Linked DNA regions of Cricetulus griseus. The protein of the gene in region 1 binds, or shares a complex with, the protein of each later gene. Links are inferred from orthologs where the notes say so. Each region holds a gene or a part of one and is shown on either strand. Other genes may lie near its edges.

Region 1 (3,649 bases):
GTTATATAGCAATGAGTGTAAAACACAGTACAGGATGGGAACTCAAGTCTCATCTTGCTAATAAAAAAAAAAAAAAAAAGTTACAAGTAGGAAAAAATCCATGATTGCCAGAAAAACCTGCATTAGGAATGCATCAAAGAACATGGCAGTACATATTTCCTAACTCCTGTCCTTAAGAGGTAAGCAACAATGATACATCTTACAGTTTGGGTATGACTCAAATTCAAAGGTTCAGTTGTCCAACTGTACTGAATTGTTTCCATCCTTTTATAGTCAAAACTCACTTTTGCCTAGGACATAGGGAAGCAATTCTTACTGAACCAGCAGAGGGGGCTAAAAAGCTATTAATATCTACTATGTCTAAGCATTAAATGCAGGGATATTCAGATGAGAAGGGAAGAGGATGAGGGAGAGACACCTTCAGGATCCCTCTCTAAAGAGAACTGTTGAAAATTCTATCGGAAGATCATGTTTTCATTTGTTGTTAAATGTCAGCAGGATTAAATAGATAACTGTTCAAAGTAATGATTCCAGTAAAGTTTTAATTACTAATACAACTTCCACTTTAAATTTAAGGGGATTTACCATTGGTAACTTTAAATTGTAAAATAGTTTTGGCTAAGTATCTTTTTAAAAGTACAAACAACACTGGCTAAGTGGCCTTAAGTAGCTAATGCCACCACTGTGACAAAGAATATGTGTAGACGACAAATGACTGGCTTAAAGTACCCAAAGTTCAGGTAGTCCTTTAAAGTTCAGCATAATAGGAACATACTCCATCATTTTCGAAAACAGTAAGTAAAACAGCATAACATTTTTGAAGACAGACATTATGTGTTAATTGTGGATGTACCATAGAAACTTAAAGAGTATCATAAAACCAAAACCGAACTACACACTTAACAAATGGACACTAACCTTTCCAAAGATGGTGTGCTTATTGTTAAGTTCATCTGCTCGACCCAGGGTAAAGAAAAACTGGCTGCCATTATCATGTGGACCAGCATTTGCCATGGCAACCAGTCCTCTCCTATTAAAACGCAACCTGGAGTGAAATTCATCCTGCAAGAATGAAAGAGATTTAGTGACTGTTCTCAGTCACAAGACCCTTCATATTCAATCAGCTATGCAGCAGACTAGTGAGGCTCAGACAATTTCTAATAAAAAATGCTGAAGCTTTATTTAACTGATTTTGAAGTACAATCAAATCCAAATTTACTATCTGTTCAATCTTCTTCAACCTGAATTCAGCAACTTGTATCTTCTAAATATATTCAGCCACATAGCTGTTTATGGAAGTCTACATACACACAGAGGAAGGGACTCAGAGGGACTCAGGGTCTAATATCATTTCCCTACGAAAGAAACCTATCTTTGAGTCACTGTGAAGCCGCCAGCTAGTCTCCTTCCAATCTGGATCCACATGTTTTGAAGCAGTGGCTTTCTTCTTGTTTTTTTTTTTTTTTTTTTTTTTAAATTCAGAGACCTAATCAAGTTGTGTTAGTGATTTTACTGTGCTTTTAAAAGCCCTAAGAATCCCTAAGTTGACTCTTCAGGGATGGCAAGAGTCTCACTTGGCAGATTGTAACAGTGCAGGACCACTGTTCCTTGGGTACTTTCCTTGTTCTGAGAGCTACTTAGGATTTCCCCTCAGACCTACACTGGGATCATCTATGATACACCCATCTCTGTAATCAGTGCTTTTCAAGCATTAGATGCTATTTTTCTTTAATACATTCTTCTTAAGAGTTGAACTCAGTCCATTGCACCAGGAACCAGAGAGCCAAACAACTTGACCTCTGACTGATAGCTTTCAAAAGGAATGAGAGTAAAATACTCCTGTTGTTTAAATCCCCTGAATGTGTGGCATTTCTACACCATGTGTCCTGGACAGTTCTATGTCAGTTTGACACAAACTAAAGTCATCTGAGAGGAGGGAACTTTGATTAAGAAAATGCCTCCATCAGATCAGGCTGTAAAGCATTTTCATGGTTGCTGGTTAATGGTAGAGGGCCTAGCCCACTGTTGGGTGGTACCATCCCTGGGTTGGTGGTTCTGGGCTCCACAAGAAAGCAAGTTGAACAAGGAGCAAGCCAGTAAGCAGCACCCCTCCATGGCCTCTGCATCAGCCCCTGCCTTCAGGTTCCTGCCCTGCCTGAGTTCCCACCCTCACTGCTTTTGATGACAGGCTGTTATGTGAAACAGTGAGTGAAATAAACCCTGTCCTCCCCTAGTTGCTTTCGGTCATGGTATTTTACCACAACAACAGTAACCCTATTGTAGTATTTTAAAATAACAAAGCAAAAATCTCAGAAAGGAAACACCAACAGAGAAGTTAGGATAAACAATGGGATTAAATTAAATTAAATAAATATCCTGATACATGGATATTTCCTACAAAGTAGAGGTCCTAAAATTATGAGATGTGATTAACAGTGACAACTGAGATTTTTTTAAATACTGTGTCTTACTTTCCAGGGTGACTATAGTCTGGAGACAAAGTTTAAAAAGAAGTTCCACTGTTTTTCTCAACAATCAAGATCATGCTGTTGTGAGAAACTGTGGCACATGCCAGCAATCCTAGCACGCAGGCGGCTCAGGCACAAAGACAGTCACAAATTTAAGGCTAGTCTGTACTATACTGAAATTCTAACCAAGGCAACATAGCAGGACCCTCGATAGAAACTTTGAAATAATTAGAAATAACAGTGACCCAGGAAAAGATGAAAGGAGTCTCCAGACACTCTTTCCTACTAGAATAAATATGAAGTTTTCAAAAGTTTCCTGGTTTTTAGAACCACTGACAGTTATTCACTCAAAGAACCATATTTAAGTCCATAATTGTCCCTAATTTCTTAAACAGATTAACTCTTTTCCTTCTTAAGTTTATGCTAGTACTCAAGAAGTCACAGTCCAGACTAGAGAAATGGCTCAGCAGTTAAGAGCACTTGTTAATCTTGCAGAGAACCTGGATTCAATTCCCAGAATCCACATGGTACTTCACAACCATCAATAATTCCAGTTCCAGGGTTCCAATGCCCTCTTTTGACCTTGGCTGTCAGCAAGCAGCACATGGTAAACTTAAAACATTCAAACAAAACATTCACACATAAAACAAATAAATCTAATAAAAAATTTAAATAAGAAATTATGTATCCATTTTTGATTAATATATCTTTTCCCTAATATTTTTAGCTCTTCCTTCTGCTCACTTATGACTGTCAATCATGCATGGCTTTGTGCTATAGCATTCTTTTGTGGACAGTAAGTACATAATATACAGTAAGCTCCAGTGTGGAAGCTTGGTTCCTCAAAAGCTTTATATTGGTCTTAATCCCTGGTGCAGCTGTATTTGTGGCTCTGACAAGGTGGTGATCGTTATAAACATGAAAAGCTGAGAAGAAGTCATAAGGGTTGTGTTCCCATTCTAGTCCAATAGGGTTCATGGCCTTAAAAGCAAAGATCAGGGCATCAGACCTGGCTGTTTCATCCCCAGAGCTCTTCAAGGCAGGAAGTGGGGCGGTCAGACACTATGACTTGGACTTCCTAGCCTCCACAACTGAAAGAAAGAAATTCTCATTTCTCCCCAGACTGTTGTAGCCCAAGGAGACTACTGAAAATTCCATATAATATTTAAATCAAATTATTT
Region 2 (3,749 bases), on another chromosome or scaffold:
CAGTGTTTCCTAAACTGAGTTCCTGAGTTTTTTGTTTTTTTTTTTTTTCTTTTCCTCGGTTTTTTGAGACAAGGTTTCTCTGTGGCTTTGGAGGCTGTTGGAACTAGCTCTTGTAGATCAGGCTGGTTTAGAACTCACAGAGATCTGCCTACCTCTGCCTCCCAGAGTGCTGGGACTAAAGGCGTGAGCCACCACTGCCTGGCTAGTTCCTGAGGTTTTTTTGTTTGCTTTTTTGGAGATAGAGTACATATGATGGACCTGGAATTTACTAGGTAGATGAGGCTGTCCTTAAATTTACAGAGATCCACTTGCCTCTGCCTCCTAAGTACTGGGATTAAAAGTGTATACCACCACACCCAGCTTGAGTTCCATAAGATCTTAAATATTTTACATATGAAAGATTTTGGAATTAGGAACTTGAGAAAAGCCAGCTTAATAGTTCTACGCTTTTGCCTCAAGATTTTCCATAACCAGGTATGGTGGTACACACTTTTAGTACCTGCAGCACTTAAGGGGCAGAGAAAGGCAGATCTCTGTAAGTTTGAGGCCACCCTGGTCTAAATAGCAGGGTTCCAGGACAGCCAGGGCTACAAAGGGAGATCCCCTCTCAATAACAAACAAAAAAGTGTACCACTATGCCCAGATTATGTTACTTTTTTTTTTTTTTCCTCTGTAGCCCCGGCTGGCCTGGAACTCAGAGACCCACTGGCCTTGCTTCTGGAGTGCCAGGATTAAAGGCGTGTGCCACCATCCAGCAATAATGTTACTATTTTTTTGTGTGTGTGTGCATTATTTTGTTTTTCAAGGCAGGGTTTTTGTTTGTTTGGTGTAGACTTGGCTGTCCTGGAACTCACTCTATAGATCAGAGATCTACTTGCCTTGTCTCCGGAGTGCTGGGATTAAAGTGTGAGCCACCAACACCCGGCTAAAATTTATTTTAAAATCACAAACTATCACCAGGCGATGGTGTCCCACGCCTTTAATTGCAGTACTCAGGAGGCAGAGGCAGGGGGATCTCTGTGAGTTCGAGGCCAGCCTGGTCACCAGAGCAAGTGCCAGGATAGGCTCCAAAGCTACAGAGAGAAACTCTTGTCTTGAAAAACCAAAACAAAAAACAAAAACAAAACAAACCACAAACTATCATTTTTCTTTAAACAACATCTCCACAAGATTAGTGTTTCTCAGAGTACAGTTTGGAGAGCAGTAACTTCAGAACCATCTATTTCCTTCTACCCTTTCCCACTTCCGGATTTCCCCCTCTACAGACCTGTGCTTCCTCCGGCAGCAACTGCTATAGTGAGGAGCTCTGTGCAGAGCACTCTGGGTGATTAATCGAGTCTGGGTTAGCAAAGGTGCCTGGTTATCAAGAGAAGAAGACACAGTTGGAGATGTTAGGCAAAAGTCCTGTTGCATGCAGTACAGCCCTGCCTGAACAACACCTGACCAGATCTCTCACCTCGGCTTTGCTTTCTGTCTTCAATTCATTTTGCTGTCTTGGTTTTTGCTCTGTTTTCTTGCCTGATTGCTTTTTGCCATAGAAGAGCTTCAAACCTGAAAAGGAAAGCAAGCACAACATCAAGTAGACTGACAAAATGTTCAGAGTGTATTCTCTATCATTCCTCCACTCCCCGCCTTCTCCTGTACTTACTGGATAGGTGCTTCTTGCCTGCACGGTGGGCAGTCAGCATGGCCAGCGTGTCCAGGACTGGTCGATGGGGGCAGATAGCGCAAGCAAAGCTAGGGAAAAGAGAAGTGAATGGCAAACCCGTATGTGTTGGAGAGCCGGTGGTTGGGGTGTTCCTACTTAGGGGCTATGCCTGTCAAAGCACTCCACCAACGCCCAGGTCTCCCGATCGCCACCTCTTCCAATCTTCACTTCCAACCAAAGGATCTATTACACTCCTGATCTCCTTAGAAACCAAAGTCTGTTGAGCCTCTGATAGCAAATCCCCAGGCTTGATCCACTCTGCTCTCACCGTCCATCCCGCAGCATTAGCGCCTCATCCTCTGGGATGTAACTGGCCAGCAAGTCTCCAACTCTTCGTTTCTGCAGAGAGCAGGACAGGAGAAACGAATATGAGGGATGGATGAAAAGAAATAACAGGGATAAAGAGTCAAATGGAGCAGACCATAGGGTAAGAAGGAGGAGGCATCACTCAGTTCTGGCCCCCGAAACCCCCTCCCACAGATGTCGCCAGAGCAACAAAACAATGCAAAGCGCGACTGAAGCTGGGCTCTCCCTCTCTCTAGTTCTTTGATTTTTCGAGACAGGGTTTCTTCGTGTAGCCTTGACTGTTCTAGAGCTGGCTGTGTGGACCAGGCTGGCCTCGAACCTCAAACGCAACACGGACACACCGGCTTTTGCCTCGCAAGTGCTGGGATTCAAAGCGTGCGCCACCACTGCTCGTGGGTAGACTCTCACTAGGGCTTACTTTGAGCACATTGAGCTGACTCCAGTCGTCACCTTCCCTCTTGAAAGACATCACGACTGTGAGTCTTAGAAATAATAAATTCTCCTACGCCTACTTTGCCTCTCCTTCGGGCCACCGTAGGAAGAGTAGGTTATCGCCTTCCCTGCTTCCGGTCTTTTTCTGATTAAGTCTTTACTTCCGGGGATGCGTTTCCACGCATGCACCGCGCGAGCCGGAAGACCCGCCTCCAGAGCCCTGAGGGTGCCTGCATTTCCTATGATGCCCTGAGAACGCTTTGCCTTTTGGGAAATGAAGTCTTTTAGTTATTTTCTTTTTTTTGTTGTTTTTAAAAGACCTCACCGCTCACCTGAGTACAGGCACTCACATCGCGAAGGACCCAGGTGTTTGGAGACCAAGAACCTGTACGTGGAGCCGGAGTTTCAGGGTGGGACCCTCCTGGCGTGGAGCGAGGCTTCGGGGATCTCAGTGGACCGTGTACTGCAAACTCTCTCAGTCCCCAGGCTCACCGTCCACAGCCACGATCTACCTGGGGTGGGCCTGATTTGGAGCAGAGAGGATGTGGGGGCTCCCGGCGGCCCGGCTGCGGGACGTGGGGACACACTGAGGGGAGAGTGTTGATGAGGGTGTCTAGGGTTCAAAGGTCAGAGATCAGGCTTGCAAGGAGTTGGGGAGAGGGCGTCGAAAGTCGAAGGGGTCGGCGACCGACCACTCAGGGAAGATATTTATGGGCAAGGGTCTTGAGGAAGGAGAAATGTAACCGGCCTGGCAGCCTTCTTAGGGTACGGACTGTGACCCCAAGCTCGGTAAGCAGCAGCAAGAGGAGCATTGATGTAGTCTCTCGAGAGCGGGGACACTAAAGAGAGAAGTGAGAAGGAATTCCTAGAATATCTATCCATTCCTGGGGTTCGGCCCTCACTGTTGGTCACTTAGCTTTCCTCAGTTGTGACCCTAGATCTTGGCATCTTGAGATGGCTTCTCCCTCTAGACAGCCCCCACTTGGGGGGTCAGGGCTGCTGCATGGGAGCCGTGCTCGTTCTTATGGAAGCCTGGTACAATCATCGTGCTCCCCGGTGAGGGAAAGACGCTTGGAGCATCAGTTGGAGCCTGGAGACACCCTGGCTGGACTAGCACTCAAATACGGGGTGACGGTGAGTCTTCCAAGGATTGTGGTGTGGTGACCATTCAGGAGAGATTTAGTGCCCAGGAGAAACTGGGTGGTCTGCTAAGCGGCCTTCCCTGATGTTATATTAATTATATTGTGGTCTCTGCTTTGTCTTATTTTGTTTACACCTCTCAGGGTAGCACTATCCACACTCA
Region 3 (3,749 bases), on another chromosome or scaffold:
AACCCTGTCTCAAAAAACAACAACAAAAACAAACAAAGCAAAAATGTACTGAGACATATCTCTTTCTTGTCTCACCAGACCCTAACCTTCCAGGCTTCATTCCTGCCACTCTTCTGAGTGTCCTTACCGCCTCTATCCTGAACTTAGGCTACTTGCTTCCCTCCTTACCTTCACTATTAGTCATATTTGGGTCACAGCAGCCAGAGGGGATCCTGTTACAACCCTTGTCAGCTCAGAATTTTCCCATAGCTCTCATTTCACTCACACTAAAAGAAAAAGTCCTCCCCGTGGCTCAGAAGGCCCTTTTGATCTGGTCACCTCTGCCTTCATCTATGGCCTGACCCCTCATTCATTCCAATCCAGTCACACTGGTTTCCTTAGAGTTCTTTACATACTACACGTTTAAAAAGAACAAGGAAAGAAGGAAAAAAAAGAGGAAACAAGCAAAAGTGGTTCCAAAGAGTGTGTACTCTTTCTTTCTTTTTTTCTGAGAGTTTCTCTGTGGCTTTGGAGGCTGTCCTGGAACTCACTCTGTAGACCAGGCTGTTGTCGAACTCACAGAGATCTGCCTGCCTCTGCCTCCCAACAGTGTGTACTCTGATAGCATTTGTATTTCCCATCCACTCTGCTGTCCACCTCTATCAGATAATACCAGAATTCAAGTACTTTTTGGGACAGCCTGCTATCTATTTGTTAAAGCTTCTAATAAGGATGGAAGGGAGAAAGGCTAGTTGGCAAGGCTCTGGGACACACATGCACAGTTTCCCTGCTATGTGCAAGGAGGCTAGCCAGACGGGGTAGAGGCAATGATGGGGGAGGATGGCAAAGGGGCAGCTCACTGTCTCAGCCTGAGGTTCGCTGTCTGTTCCTTCCCCACTGGGATTGCATCCTTTCTGGATCATGGGAATAGTGAGCGTGGGGTCAACACCTGCATTCTCCCTCTCCTCCAGGGACTTCTTGGATTCTAAGGAAGAATGGGAGGATCAATGAGGCCATACTCTATCCTTCCAACTTCCTCCTTGTCTACCTGTACTGGGGCAGAGCAAAGGGGGAGGTTTCACTTACCCTCAATGAGCTCCTTCACAGCCTGGGACAGCACACCATCTGACATTAATACAGTCTTAGTTTCTGAGGATGTCTTAGGGCTCTTGGCCAGTGGTTGCCTCCGAGAGCCATTCTGGATCAATGGGATGACTAGTTCCTTGGGGGCTTCTGGAGGGTTCACACTGATGTGGGGACAGAGAGAAAAGGTTAGGAAAGTACAAGTGTTAGAAAGTGGAGATATCTACACCCAGCCGAAGGACCATGTTCCACAAGTTATTTTTCCGCAGGTCCTCCCATTTCTTTTCGAAACAGTTATCTCACTATGTAGCCCAGTCTGGTCTTATAAACTCTGTCCTCTTGGTGCAACCTTTTAGTGCTGAAATTACAAGCAAGCATCACCTCTCCTCGTGTCCTCAGCTTTAAATGTGTCTTATGGAAATCATTCCTGGACTCTCAACCACAATGACTTACAAATCACCATCTTCGGTCGAGATTCTCCCCAGTTTCAGGCTAGCAAACAGCCTTCCGGACAGCTGTCTTCCATTAGTCCCTCCCTTAGGTCTTTCAGATCAGTTTCTTAATTATGCTGCTGATGGCCTCCCCAAACCTGTATTTGCCGCATTCTCCAAATCGGAGAAGCTTCCACTATTTCAGTTGAGACACTAAAAGTCTTGTCATTCTCCCTCCTTTTCCTTTCTCAAAACGCACATGTCCTCAAGTCCCAATGACTTTTTCTCTGAGGAATATATACCTTTGGTTATCAGGCGCCATTTTCACCCACCTCTCTAACAAACCTCCTCCTTGCCCTTAAATTATTAAATTTAATAATAAATTAAATTTTAATTATTTTTCTCTCTTTTTAAATATAGGCTCTCATACAGCCCAGGCTAGCGTTCAACTCTTGATCCTCCGGTGCCAACCTCCCGGGTCCTGACATTAATAAACATTTGCCACCACTCCCGGATGCCTCCATAAACTTCTTGAGGCCGTGTTTGAGGCCTTCTAAATCACTGTCATCAGGGCAAACAACTCGTATTCTGCCCTCCGCCCACCGCACCGATTTCCAAAACGTGAAAGACCCAGCGTTTCACCTCTGTAGCTCCCTTCCTTCCACGGTCGTTAAGAAATCTTTCTCCTCAGAGGCCCGTCCTGTGCCATCTCTGGGGTCTGTCAGTCGCCTCCGGGCAGACGTGCGAGTGAAACCGAAAGAAATCGGGGCCGTTGAAGGGGCAGCCCGCGGCACACTGTTTGGGTCCGCCATCTTGTCCCGAGTCCCAGGCTAGCGCACTGCTTGCTGGGAAGTTTAGTTTAAGCTCAATTCGCTAGGGGCCGGCCGAGACGCAATGCCTCAAGGACAGGTCTTGAAGCCGTGGGAAAAACCGATCACGCTGGTAAACGGTTTGAAATGTCATAGGAACGCGCCGCGCCGCGCATTCTGGGAAATGTAGTTCTCAGTGATATAACCGTGGTGGCAGATTGATTCTCCCTAGGTTTTCAACCATTTGTAATGCAGGTCTAGGGGATCCGACACTGTCTTCCGAACTCCGCAGGTGACACACATAAATAAATGCAGGCAAAATGCTTATATACACAAAATCGGGCTGGAGAGATGGTTCAGAGGTTAAGAGCACTGACTGTTCTTCCAGAGGTCCTGAGTTCAATTCCCAGCAACCACATGGTGGCTCACAACCATCCATTATGAGGTCTAGTGCCCTCTTCTAGTGTGCATATCTACATGGAAGCAGAATGTTGTATGCACAATAAATAAATAAATCTTTAAAAAATGCCTCTGCCTCTGCCTCTGCCGGGCTGGAATTTAAAGTGTTCACTACCACGCCCGGCTTACTTATTTTTATTTTGTGTGCATTGGTGTTCTGCCTGCATGTATGTCTGTGAGAGGGTGTAGGAGCTCTTGAAACTGGAATTACAAAGCAGGAGGAATTGTCACAAGTCTAAGACAAACTCTATATGAGCTGCCATGTGGATGCTGGGCATTGAACCTGGGTTCTCTGGAGGAGGAGCCGGTGCTCTTCACCTCTGAGCCATCTCTCCAGCCCTGGAATACTTTCTATGTTGCAGTTTTCTGAGCTTTTGGATGAGGCAATGTCTTCTGGTCTTCGGCATAAAGGACAGGGAACTGCCAGGCTGGGACCCCTTTGCCTGGGTGCTAGCTCTTTCTTTCTTTCTTTCTTTCTTTCTTTCTTTCTTTCTTTCTTTCTTTCTTTCTTTCTCTCTCTCTCTCTCTCTCTCTCTCTCTCTCTCTCTCTCTCTCTCTCTCTCTTTCCATCCCTCCCTCCCTCCCTCCCTTCCACCCTCTCTCTCCCTCTCTCTCTTTCTTGGTGAGAGCAGGACTGTTGTTGCAAGTTCAGCCTTAACAACAGGTGGTGGTTGGGAGGGTCAGAATATATATTCTTTGAAATTCCTCCCTCTCCCCTTTTTAGACAGGGTCTCATTATAAGCAATGAGTGGCCTAGAACCCACCGACATTTGCCTGCTTCTGCCTCCTAAGTGCAGAAATTAAAGGAATGTGCCATCACATCCAGCCCCCATATATATTTTTTTTTTACCTAAATGACCCTGGGGATTTTCCATAACAATATTATAAATTATCAAAAACATGAGATTAACATTTGCATAATACTGTTTCTTTTTAATCACTGAGCCACACCTCTAGCCCTGGGTGTAACTCTGTTAAATAAACTATT

What was found.
Region 2: Cwc27 (region 1) and Scnm1 share a complex: the UniProt entries of both Homo sapiens proteins name them as parts of the minor spliceosome. The link is inferred for Cricetulus griseus from reciprocal best matches to the Homo sapiens genes CWC27 and SCNM1.
Region 3: Cwc27 (region 1) and Gpkow share a complex: the UniProt entries of both Homo sapiens proteins name them as parts of the minor spliceosome. The link is inferred for Cricetulus griseus from reciprocal best matches to the Homo sapiens genes CWC27 and GPKOW.

What each region holds. Positions count from the first base shown.
Region 1 is NC_048595.1:323,089,861-323,093,509, forward strand, and holds part of Cwc27 (spliceosome-associated protein CWC27 homolog), read right to left. Parts: intron 1,063-3,649; coding exon 919-1,062; intron 1-918. UniProt on the Homo sapiens protein: As part of the spliceosome, plays a role in pre-mRNA splicing. Probable inactive PPIase with no peptidyl-prolyl cis-trans isomerase activity. As a component of the minor spliceosome, involved in the splicing of U12-type introns in pre-mRNAs.
Region 2 is NW_023276806.1:61,367,428-61,371,176, reverse strand, and holds the start of Scnm1 (sodium channel modifier 1), read right to left. Parts: upstream 2,600-3,749; 5' UTR 2,484-2,599; coding exon 2,433-2,483; intron 2,048-2,432; coding exon 1,977-2,047; intron 1,738-1,976; coding exon 1,649-1,737; intron 1,552-1,648; coding exon 1,457-1,551; intron 1,357-1,456; coding exon 1,268-1,356; intron 1-1,267. Other genes in the region: Lysmd1 (lysM and putative peptidoglycan-binding domain-containing protein 1), read left to right, coding at 2,721-2,833, 3,385-3,580. UniProt on the Homo sapiens protein: As a component of the minor spliceosome, involved in the splicing of U12-type introns in pre-mRNAs. Plays a role in the regulation of primary cilia length and Hedgehog signaling.
Region 3 is NC_048604.1:114,159,004-114,162,752, reverse strand, and holds the start of Gpkow (G-patch domain and KOW motifs-containing protein), read right to left. Parts: upstream 2,388-3,749; 5' UTR 2,306-2,387; coding exon 2,136-2,305; intron 1,227-2,135; coding exon 1,066-1,226; intron 965-1,065; coding exon 840-964; intron 1-839. UniProt on the Homo sapiens protein: RNA-binding protein involved in pre-mRNA splicing. As a component of the minor spliceosome, involved in the splicing of U12-type introns in pre-mRNAs.